Drosophila melanogaster: one gene and its partner. The protein of the gene in region 2 interacts with the protein of the main gene of each other region in a pairwise test. Each region holds a gene or a part of one and is shown on either strand. Other genes may lie near its edges. The genes, in order: CG4270 and CG12477.

What was found.
Region 1: the proteins of CG12477 (region 2) and CG4270 interact in a two-hybrid assay, tested with the Drosophila melanogaster proteins (one large-scale study listed by BioGRID).

What each region holds. Positions count from the first base shown.
Region 1 is NT_033779.5:2,261,568-2,264,812, forward strand, and holds CG4270 (uncharacterized protein), read left to right. Parts: upstream 1-1,874; 5' UTR 1,875-1,990; coding exon 1,991-2,188; intron 2,189-2,248; coding exon 2,249-2,475; coding exon of another isoform or gene 2,476-2,479; exon of another isoform or gene 2,480-2,518; intron 2,519-2,529; coding exon 2,530-2,617; 3' UTR 2,618-2,674; downstream 2,675-3,245. Other genes in the region: CG34049 (uncharacterized protein), read right to left, coding at 2,700-2,853, 2,916-3,142, 3,205-3,245.
Region 2 is NT_037436.4:18,721,325-18,725,070, forward strand, and holds CG12477 (uncharacterized protein), read right to left. Parts: upstream 1,949-3,746; 5' UTR 1,865-1,948; intron 1,810-1,864; 5' UTR 1,804-1,809; coding exon 1,006-1,803; 3' UTR 569-1,005; downstream 1-568.

The DNA of each region.
Region 1 (3,245 bases), on a different chromosome or scaffold from region 2:
AACCTTTGGCACTTTGTTAATGGATTTAAAGAGTAAGTGATACTAAAAGGTGTGGAATGTGAAGCTTATAACATTTGAAATCGTTGGGAATACTTAAGCTTAACGACATTGGAATACGCATGCTACCAATGAAATCTGCTGGAATACAAGAATACATTTATTGGCTGCAGTTGAGATTGTTTGGCTTCAAATTCAGAATGAACTTTTTAAATTGTGCATTCATTTTTTGTGCGGTACTTACCCTATGCCAAAACATGACCAATTCGAATCAATGGGAATCGGAATTAAAGGCAGTATCCGTATGTGCAACCGAGTGCATCCGGCTCCGGATGCCGTGTGGTTGATGGAAATGCGAGCCTGTTTGCCCAGATACCAGATACGATATATCAGATACCATCTATGTATATAATGCCCGCATGCTCGAAATAAGAGTGCGAGTGTATTTATTTTGCGTATGGCGCGCACTGTACCCTCCACTCGACCAGCAATGCATAAATAAACGAAACCAAATTTGCGAAATTAATTAAATCGACAGAAAAGTAACGTGTGCGCTTTGCGTTTTACGCTTTGACTGTGGCCAGCTTACAACCCAAACAATTTGGCCACCCAGCCACTGAACCACCCAATCCCCCAGCCACCCAACCACCCAACCACACATTTTCCAACTCCGATGGCACCGAAATTGTGAATTGTGCATTGTGCGGATGACGCGACTGTGCATCGCGTTTCTGACAGAGGCCATGGAAACCTGAAATGCAGCGAGCAGGCTTAAAGTTTATTACAATATTACCAGAAATTCTACCAGCGGCTTAAATGGAGCCATTTATCCATTTCGAAAATATCTTTGTCTATAGAGCAAATGAAAATAAGAAATGGAAAAGGGAGCTCCCGATTAATTGAATTGAAATTCATCCTAATCTTTGATATTGATTGAATTATATATTACCAATTAACCAAATTGGCTTTAATCTGTATTAACATTAATACTTATTTAAATTCGCGGCTTAATAAACTATTTTATCCAGCTTTAAGCTTATGGCCGAGTACTTAAGTACTTAGTACACAAATTCACATAAATCAATGAGCTGGGCCATAATTTAGTGCCTGGCACATGAGTATATCAAACGCAATGCTGTGACCCCGCATCCACCTTGCGGCGCACAGGATAATTTCAGCGAGTCAGCCTGTCCTGCGGCTGTATCCGCCTATCTGTACATCGGAGCATCGGCTTAATCTCTGCCGGGAGCAGCGACATCGGCCGGTCCATTGATTTGCATTTGCACAACTCATTAGGGATTCACACTTGAAGCACCACCCGCAGCGCAGACACACACTCACACACTTAAATAATTTAATATTCCGAGTGTTTCGACATCGAAATTTGCACTTCCATGGGCGGCGCTGCGGGCGATTGATAAGGGGCCTCCATGTCGGCCAACTCGCATTATCCAGCTCGATTCAGTCGGCAATTAATGCCACTCCAATTGCCCGATTTGCCTGCACCTACATATCCAGCCATATGGCTGGATTGCGAAAGAATCGCCGGCTCATTAATAACCAAACCCAGTGACATGCATCACTCATACGTCACGTTGGTTAATCCCATCGGCAGATGCAGAAGAAGGATGTGTGATACAGTCTGTCTAATTCCCGTCAATGGATTTGGGCACGCACACGTCCTGTGAATCCGTCACCCACAGCCTGTGTTTGCGGTATCAATCACAATGCTAATACCGATGTTTAGGCCAGATTATGAGGCGGTTTGAAAAAAGGGTTTTTCGGCTGTAAACAAAACATTGTGATTGATGGGTGAGCTATTCAGAACTCAGTGAAAATTTTAATTGACTGCCTTGTATACATGTATAATAACCACTTAATTTTGTAACTTAAAAACGAGAAATGTTGATCTAGCCAGCTAGCTTAAAAAGTCATTAGGCATACGTAAATTTGGTTAACTAAATCACGGCGCCAGCCAATCCCCCAAAGAAATATGGCGAAGAGAAACGTAGCGCCCATTCCCAAAACCCACGAGCGCCCTCCAGGTCCCAGGGGTCAGGATACCAAGGGCAACAACGAGCTCTTCCTGAAGGAGGTCTTCAATACCACCAATAAATATCGGGCAATGCACGGCTGTCCCGCGGTGACCATTAATGCTGCACTAAATAAGCTGGCTCAGGAATGGGCCAATGTAGGATGAGGGATAAAGAGTATTCTATAGTATTTTATATTAATTTGCACCCATTTCCAGCATCTCCGCGATCAGAACACAATGGCGCACAGACCCAATCCCAAGTACGGCGAAAACATTTTCCTCTCCGGTGGAATGGATGTGACCGGTGATCTGCCGGTGGAAATGTGGTATCGGGAAATCAATAGCTACGATTTCAACAAGGCGCAGTTTGTGCCCACCGCTGGACACTTTACTCAGCTCATTTGGAAGTCGTCGGTGGAAATGGGTTCGGGTGTGGCCCGAAAGTGAGTCTTATGGCTATGGCTATGGTAATCCTATTCATACATGTCTTCCAATAGAGCGGATAGAACTTGGGTGGTTTGCAACTACAATCCTCCCGGCAATGTTGTGGGTTTGTTCAAGGATAATGTGCCGCCAAAGCAATAACTCTGGGATTTTTTGATCAAAATTTTAAGCATAATAAAAGCGTAATCTAGGTCCAGTATTTGTTTGTTTTATTTACCATTTTCTATTTTAAATTGTGATGTTTCGATTTTCTAGTTTCCTTGGCATCCAAGTCCGATTTAAGTAGAAGGAATTTTCTAGGCAGGACATTTTCCCTGAAATGTTCGCTTACATTTCCAGGCGGATGGTAATTGCACACAATCCAAATGGAGGAAACACTGCGTGTAAAATGTAGTTAGTTTCGGATTATTTTTAGTATGACTTAAAATTATGAACCCACTCGCATGCCACGCCCACTCCCAGGAACTCTGACTCTCTCCAAACCAACTGGGTAAAATGTCCAGTGTACAAATTAAAGCCTGGCTTTAAGTAATCGTAGTTGTATTTTTCTTGGTACCAGAGTTTCAGTATTTGATCCACGGAGAATTTGGATCTCCGGACACGCATAATATTCTCGCCGTAAAGAGGATTAGGTCGAGTTTCCAGTTTGTTCAGATCAGCCAAATGCTGTGGAAATCAAGTTTAGGTGAAAAAGAAAGGATCTATTTATATTAAATACATCTACATACATCTGCCCACTCCTGTGCATAGGAACAAAGTTTTTCATCCA
Region 2 (3,746 bases):
ATGAATGCTAAACGCCAGCTAGTGATTCATTCAGGACCCAGTCAGTCATCCAGTTAGACGGACGAGGCATTTAAAGCGACATTCAAGGTGGCACTTGGTGGGGGAAAGCCGAGTGCATGGGGGCTGGCTTGCTTTATCTACGGACTCACTTTCCAATTATCATATTAAATCAGATGTAAGTCATTGCATGTGTATATATTTGCACAACTTATGCGGCAGAAGGACGTCAGCAGCAGCTCGGATAATCCTTTCAGCCAAAAAGGATACTCACGGGCAAAAACAAAAATAAATACATATAAAGCAACTGAAACACATCAGCGACGAGCCAAGCGGAAAACTGGTACGAGAAAAATCCAGTTGACATTTCACTGAAATGCAGTTAATGGGAATTCTCCTGGCCATCTCTGAAGATAACGATTGCTAATGGGGCTCGCCGTGTTTTCCACGTATTGCGGTTGGCTAGATAATGAGCACATGGCCAAGTGGAAAAGTGAGCAATGTTCGTTTCAGGTGTGGAAAGTGTTCGAAGTGCGGGGTGACCACGATAAAGATAAAGAAACAAAGTTTTCATTTTAGTCCCCTTTATTTAATTGTATAAAAATACATTTCATAGAGATTCATTTTGAAAAGGAAAATTCTCCAAAAGGGATAAGTTACTGCTAGGTTAATACATTGATTTTTTGATATTAAATGCCTGCAGGCTTGCAGGTTATCAGTTGTAAATTCCAGACCAGCACCTATTTTCAAAATGTAATTTTCACTGCTTAGCGCATTTAAAGCTATTGATACTCATATTCAGTTCAGTTCAGTTTAAGGATAAGCCACTTGTGAATGAAATTTAATGCAAGTCAAAATTTAATGCATGCAAAAAGTGTCCCAAATTTCTTGGAATTAAGTGGTGAATGATTGTTCTGTAAGCAAAATTTGGCAGCTACATACAATACATCGCTTCATTTCGTGGATTATTAACTTGGTTTTTTTCTCATCTCCTCCCGTTTCGTCAGACTAGTTTACGTCCGAGAAATCGTAGTCGTCGGAATTGCTGAAATCATCAAAAAACATATTCGGGAAAGGAACCAAAATAAGACAATTGCCAAGTCCCGAAAAATCTGATGGAATCGGTAGCCCTAGAGCATGGGTCGGCAATCCCACATCGACGTAATCTGCGTTGGGTATAGAGTGCTTGTAAAAACACTTGTTGCCAAAGAGGCACACGCCTTGTCCTTGTTTAAAGTACTTGCAGTCCCTTGCACGCATAGCGGCGAGGTGATCATTGATGAGCTGGTCCTTCGCCACCTTTTCCTCCACCCAAAATGCACTGGGACATACAAAGTTAGACCACACGCGACATTCGGGGCAAGCTCGCGTCACTTGATAGGCATACTGTGTGGCATGACGCCATGTGCAAATGCACTGGAAGCAGAACACGTGGTTGCAGCTGGGCAGGATGCCGAAACGCTTATCTCCTCCCTCCTTCTCCATGATCGTCTCGAAGCAAATGCCGCACTTCTTGTCCTGGGACCTGGCGAAGGAGCTCCGCCATGACGGCTGCACGTGGCTGCTCACAGATGATGACCCTTTCACTATGTCGGCAGAGGTGGCAACACCTGACGGACGAACAGCGACTGTAGTGCAGGTAGCTCCAGCCTGTGCCTCGCCCTGCTCGCCGGCAGTAGCAGCCTTGTAGTTGGGCACGATTGCTTCATTGCCCTTCTGCTCGATCTGGGAGCTAGGGCTGTTCGTGCTGGGCACCGGCAATACGCCGGTGTCCACGTGCTGATCGTTGCTTGCGACTGTACTCATTTTTTGCTGCGATGATTGCAAGATGTTTTTTACTGAATCACTGAAAGGTGCGGACAATTACCTGCTCTATTGGATTGGTTTTTTTTTTTTTAAGTCGAACAATCTTTAATGCCGAGTACAATCAGAAAATTCAACTTTGTTCTTTCACACACATGGTATGACTGGCGATTTTTTCTTTCTATAGTGTGACCAGAGTATGTTGTATCCTTAGCCTATTTTCCTAATTGTTTGGCACCAAGCTACTTAGCTACTTACTTGTTTCGCTGGCATGATTTCAGCTTAAAAGCTGAATCTAATCTGGTAACTCTATAATCTACATTGTAAGTGGCAACACCAAGCTCCACGCATCTTTTAATGTTCGAATTATTTTTTAGCGGAGATTAAACAATTTTTCATAGCGTGCTTTTCATATATTGAGCTCTTTAAGATCTGAAAGATAATTACGCATTCAGATTCTGGGAACCCCTATGGATAATCTTTAAAGCAGTCGCTTTACTGCTTGCTAAGACATTCGTGTTCTGCTTGCTACAGCATTTGCTTCGATTAAGCAGAATTATGTACTTTGTATGTATTAGTAGCGTCTTTTGTTTATCACAAAAGTTGTTCAAAATTTCAATAATAGTATATATGTAAGAGTGCAATTAAATGTATCGTAGATTTCCACCGATGTTCTGTTAGTAGTCAGTTAACAAGTGAAATCGCACAAAGCATGCTCTGCATATAATCAGCTTAAAATATCAGCGAACAAACAATTTCAATCAAATTGAAATCAAACGCTGCAGGAGGACGCCTCTGTGCCAATCCTCGCATCCTTCCGAATCGCCCCCCGTCATTACCCGCAGTTATGTTCCAGATTTACCTTGCTACGTGCAGCACCAAGTTGATTGCTCATATGTGTGCGAGGCAAAGGCGATGGAGGTGAAAGTATAATAAAGGCACAGTTACGTATACATATTCTCGCTGTGGGCAGATGGAGTCGAGAGTCACTCGCTGACTCATTCAGTCATTCACTCAGTCAGCCAGTTTGCTGCGTTGGCCCGAGCCGAGTCAAGCAGTCGAGCGCGAAATAAGCTTTGTCTGATGGACTGAGGTAAATGAACAGTGGAGCAGATCCACCAGGTGGAGATGATGCCACATGACACGCGGAGGAGCTGCCAGCGGTTGCAACACCAGCAATAGCACGACAAATTGATGACAAAAAAAAAAAAATAAATTGAAAGCAACTGTTTTTATAAATCTTAATTGAATTTAAACCCCAATATTTTTTCATTCTGCGAACCTATTAGCAAGTGAACTAAAAACTATAACAATTATGATATGACTTGAAATAGCTAGGAGAAATTCCTTAAAGAAGATTCGTTTAAGGATCCCTTTGAATATACATATATATCCTCAATTTTCAGAGTGTATCCAGGTATTGTATCCGCTTGGTTCCGCTTCGCTCGCAGGAGCCACATTTCTCAGCACTGTCGTGTCGTGGAAATCCATTTCGGCTGTTAATGTGACATTTAGTCATTAAAATTTCAGAAGGCGCTACTCAGACAAAGCATGATATTGTTATTATTATTCGCCTGCGTTTGGCTAAAATGCCTGCATGCCAAGTTGCCACCACGCGGAGTAACAGCTGCTGTGAGACAACTGCGTACAACGCGGCGTATGCGTAATGTGCTCACTGCTGATGCTGCTTCATTCAAATTAAATTTGCCCTGGGTCACGCGAGTGTTGTTTCGTATTGCAAATGTGAAGGAGAGTGACTGAAAGGAGGTGGATGACAAATGTGAGGGGGGTGGGGTTGGGGTAGCACTGAAGTACAGAATCAAGAGCAGAGCAAATTGGCAAATAAAATTTTTGCCAACGCCAAGGAAATATAAAAAGTTGACTTGAGTTAGAGAAGTTTTGCTGGGCGGGAGAGGAGTGTGTAAAAAAAGACGTAAACTTTCGTG